Linked DNA regions of Zea mays. The protein of the gene in region 1 interacts with the protein of each later gene in a pairwise test. Links are inferred from orthologs where the notes say so. Each region holds a gene or a part of one and is shown on either strand. Other genes may lie near its edges.

Region 1 (5,967 bases):
CTTACAGAGTGAGTTAAGTGACTTGGAGTTAGTTATTTCCTGGATTCCTCGCAACAAAGAGATTGGTTCCTGGTCCTCATTATTATTGTAAGTGAGTGATGCTTTTTCTTAGAGCTCTGCGCGCGCTCTTCTTTCGAGAAGGCTATATATATATTGGAACTTCCCCTACTAAAAAGTACTGCAGGAAACCATTCTTTTCTTCTGATACGCCCACTTTTTTTATAGAAGAGGTGTACAGGGTTCAAAGATATGGCAAGTAATTTTTATTTAAATAGCTCTATAAATAGTAATTCAGAATGTAACATGAAAGACTAAAAAAACTTATCGGTAGCCTATGAAGTATTTTGTTTTTTCTACATATACAGTTTTATCATATATTTAGACATAGTACATAATATACCTAAAAATCTAGATACATACTTGTCAAACATAATATACCTAAAAATCAAAATAACTTATGAGACATTTTAGTTTTTCTAGATAGGTTTTTATCTATTTAGACATAGTATATATATTTAACTTCATAACAAAGGCATATTAAAAAAAACTTAGGAATTATACAGATGACTGAAATCATTCGGAACCGCCATGTTACTTTGAAGGTTACATCGCTTTTCAAAACACAGACACAGCGAACTCAACTGAAAAAAAAACTATATACGAAACAAAAAAGGGAAAAGAAGGGCCGTTTCGATCTTTTACACTATAGAGGAATTAAAATTTTACTTGATAAAAAAATCCATACTTTCAAGATTTCAGATATTTCTTCCTTAAATTTATCAGATAATAGATTAAAATTTATATGCATCACCATGTTATGTTTCTACTTTTTTATAACTTATAACATTATAACATGTTGTTCATTATTTGACTCGCTCCCCACAGTAAAAAAATATAGTACATAAATCTCACCTGCATAATCAATAATAATAATTGGCGTGCCTAAATTATTATTATTAGGATGAAATTTAGTTTCAGGATCCAATTGCACAAAAAAAGGGCAGCTTGATCGCTGAACATGTTTAATACAAGTTGGAGAAGTACCTATATATTTCATTATAGCATTGTTGTGACAAACCGTACAACAAAATGTCATGGGCGACCGTATCGCGAAAAGGCTAGTTCCATTGCTGCTACTGTGCCAGAATTGTGATCATCAATTTAAGAATGGCATCTCATTCTCATTGCCACCGCAGACAAATGATGTGAAACAAAAAGTTCTACGTGCTGATTGCCTTAGTCTTATAAATGCTCAGAGCAACTTGAAAAATATTGGTATTTCATTTCCTTCTCTTAACTCTGACAATTCTTCTGTTTGATTTGTCGTTGCCACCACTAGGGCCCATTGAGAACCCACCTGAAGAAGCTTGACTATACTTGCCAATTTCAAAAACTCCAGGTGAGCCTGATGTACTAGAAGCAAACTGAGTTGCAGGCGTACTGAAAGTTGGAGTCGATGGAGAGCTGCTTGGCAAGCCAAATGGCGAAGTTGCAGGGGAAGGGGACCCATTCCTGTCAATAACTATGTTCCCTCCATTCATCTGTACAGTAGGGTCACCAAATATTGGTGTTGTGGGTGATGGATTTGGTATTGAAGGAGTAGCTGACGTGAATGAAAATACAGCGCTTGGCATTGAGCTGAATGGTGATGTAGCAGGGCCAGTATTTGGTGAGCCATATGAAAGTGAAGCAGGTGTAGTCAATTTGCTGGCGAATACTGGTTGTGCTGAAAATGCTGGACTGGAACTAAAAGCAAAAGATGAGCTTGTAGCAGGGGAAGATGGTGGAGCAGTTCTTGCACCTGAGCCAGCAGCCCAAGAAAACAGAGAGTTTGAATTCGAAGGGCTAGAGCACATTGTTGCTGAACCAACTGGTGAATCTGCAAAACTATGCGAGCTTCCAGAGTTCAAATTTTCTGAAGATTTGGAACTCAAATTATTTCCTGGACTCTGTGTGAACAGGGAACTGCAATTTTCTGATTGCACATTATGATTCCCAGAAAAAAATGTCGGCTCAGGAGAGTCTGCCTTGGACATATCCTCTGAAGCGGAACTCACGGTGTCAAACTTCTGGGGAAAGCCAAAAGGGGTACTGCTGTCTACTGCCTTGGATTTGTCCTGCACTGTGGAAGAACCTGCAATGCCAAACTGCTGCATGGAACTAAAACTGATACTGCTATTTGCTGCTTCAGATTTGCGGTGAGCAGCTGGAGAACTTGCAGTATGAACTGGAGGGAAACCCAAAGAAGCACCGGGGCTTGCTGTACAAGACAACGCTAAAGATTTTGCTGCAAACATATTTGAGGTTGCCGATAAACTACCAAAACGAGTATTGGAGAAAGTGAAACTGCCTCCAGTTGAACAGCTCTGTGTAATGTTTGAAGTTAAGTTAGTGGAGATGGTAGAAGAGCCAGCACTTTGAAATGAAACTGAGCCAGTTGATGTATTATAAGATTGTACAGCTGAGAGAACAGAGTTTGACGCATGCCCAGGGCCATCAACCTTAAATACAGGATTACTTGTGAAAGATGCAACTTGTCCAGAATTCTTGGAAGGCACTCGTTGATTATCTCCATTTAACTTGCTTTCTAATTTCTGTGTAACTGGTCCTCCCAAAACTGATTTTGAAATCCTGGAAAGAAAAAGACATCAATATTAGAATCTAATGTACTTCATTTTATGCTTAAAAAGATTACAAAATAGAGTGGCAAACAAAAACAGCATGGTCCAGCCAAATAGCTCCGACTAATAAACAGATTAACCAAATGTGGTCATTCATGTTCCAACAAATGACAGGTTGTGTTATTGGCACTTTAAGTATCAGCAAAATTGAAGTACTATTCAGTGCCAGAAAAAGTTTGATCTGTATTTCATTATCAATCAGGAACTAACCTAGGGTCACTTTGTGCAGAAGTGACTGAAGCACTGCAGAATACTGAAGGCTGCTTTTCAACTGTTAGTATAGGAGATGTCAATGTAGGTGTTGGAGGGCCCTGTGAGTAGGCATTGTTGACAGTCGGGGCAGGGAAGGTGAAGCCATTTCCTGGAGTGGACATTTTGCTTCGTCCAATTTCATCAGATAATACCAGATTGGGAGCATTACCTCTGGAAGAAAAGGCTGGAGGCTTTTCCTTGTTCAAGGTAATTTGTGAGATTGATTTGTTCGATGCAATACCATCAGGTACTTCTGATGGAGAAGGTTCCAAAAGATCTCTCTCTGCTTGTACTTTCTTTTGTCGAGAAACATCTTCCTCGAAATATATGGCACTCTCATGTTTCTGCTTTGTTTCTGATGTGTTTTCCTTCTGTGAAGGTACTAATGTGTCAAGCTGCTTCAGTATCTTAGTTGCCATCTCAGCTGACTTCTCTGGCACCTGACCAGGATAGTTCACATTAGTTTTGTCCTCTACGCTACCGAGACTGGCATCACCAACTTTATCCAGACACCGGCGTTTTTGAGTCCGTGCCAATTGCTCAGAACCTTCGAGTTTGCTTCCATAGCCCACAGGGTATCTACGATAACCCAGCTGTGTTTCCAACAGTGGTGATGTTCTGTTGTATCTTTGATGAATTCTGCGTATCGGACCAGCAGATACAAACTCATTGCTGACAGTACTCTTCCTCTTCAAAACCTGTTGATTAACAATGCAGATTCAGAAAAAAAAAGTAAGCAGATAGTAGGTTCCTCGTAGCTTCAAAAGGGTAATATCCCACAAAGTAATTGAATATTAGAAAAATACACAGGAACATCATAGTTCAAAATTGTTACCTAGTCACACTATTCAGGACTCAAACTCAATCCATGCAATTTTCTCCAACTAATAATTTAGTTGAGTGATGTTTGGATTCATTTTTTGGACACCTAGGATATTATGGGGGCATCAGCTAATGGCCCAGGGTCCCACAATACCAATTAAAGGAATTTGATCAGTTATAGATAGGATTAGATTTGGGTCAATTAGAGATAGGATTGGATATGATTTGATTGAGTCTTCCTTGGTGGCCAGGAATCTATATATATGGAGGGAGGTGATGTATCAAGGAAGAGGAAAGAAAAAAAGAATAAACAATCCAATTCCCCTCAAATACTCAGTCAGTCTCCCTCCAAGCCGACTTTGCCCGATTATCTTCCTGACAATGATTATCGCCAAAATGAAATAAGGTTCATAGTTGTTGAGAGAAGGTGCACTTATACACTTCAACACCCTCAATCATGTGCAGCCAGACAAAAAGGCGCAAATGTGGAAATAAAGGGGTGGAGACACAAATGATACCTCTGTCAGGATCCGAACTTGAGGTCTCTAACTTTGATACCATGTTGAGTAGTCAGCGCGGTGGCCTGGGCAGGAAGCACCCGAGCGGCGGCGGCCTGGCGCGGGCGCGGCAGGGTCCTGGCGGCCTGGGCGGGGTCGCGGCTGGGTCCTGCAGCCTGGCGCGGTCGCGGCTGGCTGCGCAGGGGCAGGCGCGCGCGGAACCGGCGGCGCAGCAGGGAGAGAGGGGGAGGAGAGGCCGGCGCAGGGAGCTCCGGTGGCTGGGGAAGAAGGCCCTGGCGGCGGCGGGGCTGGGGGCAGGGTGCCGGCGGCGGCTGGGCAGGGGGCCGGCGGCGGCAGGGCAGGGAGAAGCCCCTAAACCTAAACCAAAGCTGATACCATATTAGAATAGGAACCATACCCTAACCAGGGTTGGGAGTGATATTAATAGAGTGAGTAACTGGGCCAGGCCCATTACACAGGGGGTATAACGGTCATTACAAGGGGAATAACACAAACCCTAGACGGGTAGTCTAACAAGTAGTATTGAAAACCTTAACCCATGAGTGGACTTAGACTGTCCGCAGGGGTTGTCCCTAAAGCCACCCCTAAGGCTTTAGGGGCAACCTAAAGCCACATAGGTTGCCACTAAATAACAACCTAAATTTAGGGGTAAGTGCTCCTGCCCCTAAATCTAGGGTGTTCTCTTTCCTTCCCTCTAATTTTCTTATACTCTAAACAACGAATTAAGGGCCCGTTTGGCACAGCTCCAGCTCCTGATTCTAAGCGAGGATCTGGAGGAGCCGTGCCAAACGGGTATTTTTTTAAACTGATTCTCGTGTGGAGCCGAAAGATTGGGAGTCGTTTTTGTGAAGAAAGGTGGGATCTAAAAAAACCTGCTCCACCCTCCCTTAAAACAGCTCCTCAACCAACCAAATATGGACCTCCCCTTAAAGTTTGATCGAAATTACCCGCAATTGCCATTGGACAAAAACATAACGAACCAATTTATGGATTAAACATTTGAGACCATTTTATGCACTACTATGTTGGGAATATTTTATATGTTATTGTTTCATAATTTTTTTCCATATATGCATCCTACTTATTGGTTTGTAATAAAGTTGAATTGCAAAGGGTAAAACAGACAATCGCCACAGACCACCAACTCTCAGCAGACAAGAATCAGTTTACTTGCCAAACGGTTTTAAAAATGATTCTGATTCTCTAGGAGAATTAGGAGGATCAACTCCTCACGAGGATCAGGATCTGGAGCTAGAGCTTTGCCAAACGGACCCTAAATATATATGTACCATTTGACTATGACAAATACATATGTAAAAAGCCAATTTAAAATATAATAAGAATATGGTGTATTGTGCATAGAGGGATGAATTTAGAGGGAACCGCTGCGGGAGCTAGGATTTAATGGGATGGAATCTTTTAGAGGGTGGTGAAAAGTTGGATTTAGAGAGATGATATACTCTAGTAGAGAGTTCAGTAGCTAACTTCATAAGGGAAGGATGTTGTTTGAGTCTAGGTTGTGGGGGCAGGATGGCCTTGTTTATTTTCTTTCTTCTCCTTTTTCTTCTTTATTTCTTTTTTCTGTTGTGTTTGTATTTGGTCTAATTTTAGATCCTTCTTAATTCAATGATACACAGCTCTCCTGTGTGTTCGAAAAAAAAGAGATGATATAGAGTGCGTGTGCGTGTGTGAAA
Region 2 (6,431 bases), on another chromosome or scaffold:
CGTCGGAGAAGTGCCTGAGCCCTGTAGAAGCACAGCTGGCGGTGCGGCTGGGATCCTGCTGACGTCTCCTTGCTTTCGTAGGAGGCTGAGAACCACCGACGTCATGGACGCACGCGGGGAACCATCATTACCTGTTATCGGGGCGAGCCAGATGGGACGCCGGTCTTGTTCCCTCGTAGCCTGAGCTAGTTAGGGGTAGGGTAATGATGTATCCCTTGTGGCGCGGTCGGTCCGAGCCCAAGGTCGGGCGAGGCGGAGACTTCTCCTGAGGCCGAGGCCGGGGTCGGGCGAGGACGCGATTCCTCCCAAGGCCGAGGCTGAGACCAAGTCTTGGGGTCGGGCGAGGCGGAGACCTCCTCCCGAGGCCGAGGCCTAAGGTCGGGCGAGGCAGAGCTTCCTGTTGCGCCCGAGGCTGAACTCGGCTGTTGTCAGTCTTACCCCGGTGGGTGGTTGGCACAGTAGTCGGAGCGGGGCGAGCGACGCTATTTTCCTGTCAGATCGGTCAGTGAAGGGGCGAAGTGACCGCGGTCACTTCGGCCTTGATGACTGCGGTGCGCGTGTCAGGATAAGGTGCCAGGCGATCTTCACATTGAATGCGCATGCGATACGGTCGGTTGGTAAGACGATTTGGCCAAGGTTGCTTCACGACGAAGCCTGCCCGAGCTGGGCTTCGGGCGAGCTGAGGGTGCGCCCACTATCTGAGGAGGCCCTCGGGCGAGGCGTGAATTTGTCCAAAACTACTGTTTCTGCCTGAGGCCGGGCTCGGGCGAGGCGAGGTTGCGTCCCTTGGTAGACGAGGCCTTGCTCTGAACCGTGCCCATCAGCCTTTGCGGTTTGTGCTGAGGGTGCTTACCAGCCGTGTTTAGGAGTGTTGAGGGTACCCCTAATTACGGTACCCGACAATTTGACTTTCTATTTTTTCATCTCCCGCAGCGGTTTCCCCTAAATACTCCCCCTATACCTCAGTACAACCATAAAATATCATTTTCTATACCTATTTTTCACCTCCTATCAATTTTTCATATACTAACAATTAACCGTGTACCCACAACATAGTAGATAGGGGAGGAAAGGAGGGCACGCTGCATCCGGAGGGAGAGATAAGAGGAGAGCGTGCGGCTGCACAGTAGGGAGCACTCTAGGGGGCAGTGATGCGGCACGTAGCGGCTTCCTGTTGCCTCTACCGAGAGGGAGCTGCCGCAGGAAGCGCTGCGGTTAGCCTAACTGTGGGCCTGTTTGGTTCAGTTTTTTCTGACCAGCTTTTCTGAAAATCTGGCTGTGGAGAGAATCTGAGTATCATTACGATTACATGTGGAGGGAGATAAAGTTGTTCATAGGGCTTAGGATCTAGAAAGTGACGGATTCCTACTATTACAATGACTCAACCGATTATGTGTTTATTTCTATTTTGGATGGTTTTTGCCCCAACGAATTTTATAGAAGCTGGCTGAAAAGCTGAGCGTTTGGCAGTCCGCAGCAGCTTTTGGTGACCAGAAGCTGCCAGAAGCCGAAACAAACAGGACCTCTAAATTGTGAGGTGATTTTGGTATATCAAACCTGCTCACGTTTATTAGCTGCTCGAATCCACATGAATAAAAACACATAAGGCCTTGTTCGTTTGTGTCGGATTGGTGGGTCAAAACGATTCCGAGCCGAATTGCTTCTCTAATTTATATAAACTTTGATTAGCCGGAACAATTTCGGGTGCAATCCGACGTAAACGAACGAGGGCCTAAGAGATACTCTAATGAGGTGTTTGGTTTGATGAACCACTTTATCCAAAATGAAGTGGTGCATCATGGGTCCATTCCTCAAATTTGGTGGGATGACTCCGTTCCACATATTAGTACTAAACAACTAACTATAAGGAATGATGTGGTGATGAATTAACTCACTCCATTCCACAAACCAAACAAAAAAGTGAGGAGTGAGAAGATGATGGACTATATTATTCCTCAAACCAAACACTCCATAAAATCTGTTCGGGCCGGACGGGTCGGGTCGGACCGGCTCAGTTTTACTGGTCGCGCACCGGCTTCTACCATCCGCCACCGCCCGCCGCGGAATTCGGAAACCCCAAACCCCAACGCGGCCGCTGTGACGCTGTCCCTGGAGATGGCGGCGTACTTGAGCATGGGTGAAGCGCAACGCCGCATCGGCGACTACCTCTCTCGGGTGACCAACGCCATCTCCTGCTCCGACGCCGCCGCGCTCGCCTCCCTTCTTTCCGTCTCCTCCGCGCCGGCCTCCACCCCGCTCTCCGACGCGCTCGCCGCCATCCCGGACTTCCCGCGCCTCGCTGGAGATCGCTACCCCGACCTTGCCGACCTCCTCGTTCCGTTGCTCCGAGCCATCCACTTCCACTCCATCCAGCGCTTCGCCGACGCCTACTCCTCGTTCGAGAAGGCCTCCAAGTTCGTTCCGCATCTTCCCGATTCGGTTCAATCTATTGGAGTTTTCGAGGATGTGACGTATTTTTGGTTGCAGCGCGTTCCTGCAGGAGTTTAGGAACTGGGAGACGCCGTGGGCGATGGAGGCGATGCACACTGTGGCGCTCGAGATCAGGCTAATCGCCGAGAAGGTGAGCGGAGGTGTCTGATCTGGCCATCTGGGTTTGTATTTTTTTTGTTATTTCGGCTCACATATTCTGGTTCGTTATCTTGATGTAGGCAGATAGGGAGCTTGCGACGAATGGAAAGAACCCTGACAAGCTTCAGGCGGCTGGGTCTTTTCTGATGAAGGTTTTTGGTACACTAGCGGTATGTTATCGTTCAAAAGATTTGTGCAGTCTTCTTAATCAGAATTTGGTCTTTTTAAGCATTTGATGAATTACCAGGACAGTTATGAACTGCATTTGTTAGTTGTTGTGCTAACCAGCTAGGCTTGAATAGTTGATGTTGGGACTATAGAAGATAAACTATCATTTGATGCAGTGTCTTATCATTTTCCGATTCATTAAATTATGAGGAACACCATTGAGGTGATTGTTTTACATAGAAATCTTCCTAGACCTTTTGTGGTTATTCCTTCAGTTTGGTCTTTGATGAATCACTAGCAAGTAGCAAATACGCCTGTAGCAAATATGCCAGTGTATTGGAATGGGGAAATCCTCGTATTCCCCTATTCCAGTAATAAACATGGTACAATATTTTTCATTTTATCGTGTACATGAAAAAACCACTTTAATCGTAGAGGAAAACCATCTATTTGTGAAGAATCACATGACAAACCCAACTTACAAATAAATAATTGATTTCCCGTACATTGCTATGATAAGATATTAATTACATTATTTTAGTTTGAACTTGCTAGGGATGCAAGATAGGTTGTTTGCGAACCCGTAAATAGGTTTAATTTTGTGGGTTACCCACATAACCCACAAAATTAAGCCTATTTGTGGGTTCGCAGATAACCCGCCTTGCATCCGTAGAGCTTGCAGAGTTTTAATTTCTGCCGTTATAGTTTCCATTGCATTCAAGTGATTCAACATGTCTAAATCTTTGCTAGAAACTGTAGAATCTTAGCTTAATATGTTTTCTTCAACTAAAGTGCTTGTTACATCTCAACCATTTTTTTTTGCAATATAATTTCTTTGGACAAAGATTGTTAGCTTGGCCTGGGTACAGTGTAGCAAGCGTGCTTCCATTGCTCAATCCATGTAGCAGATGAATTAAGCTACTACTTAAAGAGGAAGTCCTCCTATCCAGCAGAGATATTCATTTATCTAGCATTAGTCCCTCTATATAGCAAACATATTGATTTTATTAAGTTTTTTTTTGCTTTCCCTTGGGATATTATTTTGCTTTAGTCTATCTTAGTATTGGTGTTTTTCTATATATTGCCATTTTAAGTATTTTCTCTATTGGTTTTGTCATGGCAGCATATAGCTTGAATATTAGTTGTCCTTTTTTCAGACATAGAGACAATAGACTTACTACTATCAGGATCAAAACATGTATACCATTAGGCAAGAATAAAGAAGTGATTACTGACTACTACCTGTAGCTTGTCTCAAGGAAGCAGCCAAATGCACATGTCCAACAATCATTTGTTAGCAACTTAGCATCTGGTAATGGCCTGGCACACCTGTGCAGTAGATGCCACTGTTGTGCCTTCATATGTACAACCCCAGAGGTGCATGCAGTAACAGCTCAAGGCACATGGGGTCGTCAAGCCATCGCAGCCCGCAGGTATATTCTGCACATGCTGCACGCAAAGCATGTCAAAGTTGTGTGATTGTATCCTTGGGAGTATGTAGGGCCCACATGCTGTCAGACAGGAGGGAGTGCAGAGGACTCCGGTTATTCTCAATGATGATGCACACGTGTGTACAATTTCCATGTGATTGATGGACGATAGACTCGGACTTTGTTTGTGGAGTGCTTGAGAGTTGGATGCTTCTAGGAGCGACAGAATAAACCTCATTCCCTTTAATATTAGTAGAGGTAGAGATATTTACTTTTTTCCATCATTTATGTTGTGATAGCTATTTTCTGCCCAATGTTTCAGGTGAAAGGGCCTAAGCGTATTGGGGCACTCTATGTTACCTGCCAGCTATTCAAAATTTACTTCAGGGTAGGATAATTTTCCTTGTCAAGTTTTGTTCTGGTATATGTAACTTTGTAATTGGGTTCTCATGGTTTGGGTTTTAAGTTAACAAGTGCTTGAAGCTGATGATGAAATTATGCAGCTTGGAACAGTAAACCTTTGCCGTAGTGTCATAAGAAGTATCGAAACTGCAAGGAATTTTGATTTTGAAGACTTTCCAGTGAAAGACAAGGTGAGATGAACATAGGTTACAGAATTATTTCTCAGAGACTTAAACATGCCTTTACATTTTGTTGTTGCTTGTGATGGTACAGGTCACTTATATGTACTACACTGGGCGGTTGGAGGTGTTTAACGAGAACTTTCTTGTTGTAAGCTCTGTCTCTCACACATGTGAATTTATTCATGGTTACAAACTACGATGATTTCAACAACAAAGCAGCGAAACTGCTTACAACAGATTTTGTTTAACTGGATCAGGCAGATCAGAAGCTAACTTATGCTTTGATGCATTGCAATCCTCAAAGCGAGTCAAATTTGAGGTACTTCTATTGCATGGGGTTTTCTGGCTTGTGGTTTGACAGACCTGGGTGTTTATACTATAACTTTTGTTTCATTTGTAGGAGAATTTTGAAGTTCCTTATCCCTGTAAAGCTTTCAATAGGTGTACTGCCAAAAAGGACTCTTTTGGAGCGGTATAGTTTGCTTGAGGTATTTTTTACTCACACTTAGTTTCTTACTTAAGCTGGAGTAAGTTCTAGGCTTCTGTCGCGCAATTTATGCTGTATAATTGAACCGTTCAGCTTTTTACAGCCACAAAATGAGCGAGCACGGTTTGCTTAATCATTTGTTAAGCATTTTTGGACAGCATCTAGATGCTGTACGGTGGTACACTGTTTATGTTTAATTGGCTGTTTTATTCCGTTTAAATGGCTATTTAGTTTGAATAATGGTTAAAGAGTAAGTAACCAACTGTTTGGCGTTGGAAAACACTGTGCGTGGATTTTGCCTCACAAGTTACTTAAGTAACGTCTTAAGTCACAAATATGCTTTTCCACTGTAGGTTTTTATTTGGTTTTGTGAACATGTATGCCTCGTTTTTAACAATGCTATAGCTACTCATATATGGTGATCTCCCCTTCTTTTTAGTAGTTAATATTTGCACAAGTGGTAATATAACATTTCAGTATGCAGATGTTGTCACTGCACTTAAGAGAGGAGATCTCAGGCTTCTCAGGCAAGCTCTAGACAGGCACGAAGACCAGTGAGTTGATCTGTTCTTGTGCTTAAAAAACCCAATTCCTTTTGCCATCTCTGATAGCTTGTTTTGCAAGATTTTTGAAATCTGGCGTCTACCTTGTACTGGAGAAACTTGAACTTCAAGTCTATCAGAGATTAGTTAAGAAAATGTGAGCTCAAAACTGAACCTGGCATTGTCGTACTTTATAGTATTTTATGACTGAACTATTTTGGCCCTGCTATTCTTTCACAGCCACATCATTCAGAGACAGAAGGAACCAGCTAAGGCACATCAGATTAAGCTAGATGTTGTCGTAAAAGCTCTGAAATGGCTTGAAATCGACATGGATGTGGATGAGGTGATTTGAGTGTACAATAGGTTACGTTATGTTTTGCATTTTATATTTCCAATAACATTTCTAACATAGTTTATCACCCTACTATCAGGTGGAGTGCATCATGGCATGCCTTATATACAAGAACCTTATAAAAGGGTACTTTGCTCACAAGAGTAAGGTCCTTGTCCTCAGCAAACAAGACCCCTTCCCCAAGTTGAACGGGAAGCCTGTTTAAATACAATTGTCACGGAGAAATCCTGTAATACAATGGTATTTTTTTTGTTTAGTATGCAGAGATGCTTTCCA

Evidence for each region. The genes of interacting proteins can lie anywhere in the genome.
Region 2: the proteins of Nuclear pore complex protein NUP1-like (region 1) and Enhanced ethylene response protein 5-like interact in binary tests that used the Arabidopsis thaliana proteins (3 or more experiments, as listed by UniProt). The link is inferred for Zea mays from reciprocal best matches to the Arabidopsis thaliana genes NUP1 and EER5.

The regions. Positions count from the first base shown.
Region 1 is NC_050098.1:95,574,694-95,580,660, reverse strand, and holds the end of Nuclear pore complex protein NUP1-like, read right to left. Parts: intron 3,632-5,967; coding exon 2,892-3,631; intron 2,632-2,891; coding exon 1,281-2,631; 3' UTR 962-1,280; downstream 1-961. UniProt on the Arabidopsis thaliana protein: Nucleoporin required for nuclear mRNA export. Functions as an adapter and/or regulator molecule in the periphery of the nuclear pore complex (NPC). May interact with importin proteins and mediate active nucleocytoplasmic transport through the NPC.
Region 2 is NC_050102.1:110,443,657-110,450,087, reverse strand, and holds the start of Enhanced ethylene response protein 5-like, read left to right. Parts: upstream 1-2,096; 5' UTR 2,097-2,115; coding exon 2,116-2,414; intron 2,415-2,487; coding exon 2,488-2,581; intron 2,582-2,669; coding exon 2,670-2,759; intron 2,760-4,509; coding exon 4,510-4,575; intron 4,576-4,690; coding exon 4,691-4,780; intron 4,781-4,862; coding exon 4,863-4,919; intron 4,920-5,028; coding exon 5,029-5,090; intron 5,091-5,171; coding exon 5,172-5,259; intron 5,260-5,735; coding exon 5,736-5,812; intron 5,813-5,882; coding exon 5,883-5,957; intron 5,958-6,040; coding exon 6,041-6,146; intron 6,147-6,234; coding exon 6,235-6,360; 3' UTR 6,361-6,431. UniProt on the Arabidopsis thaliana protein: Involved in the regulation of ethylene response. Probable TREX-2 component required for nuclear RNA export.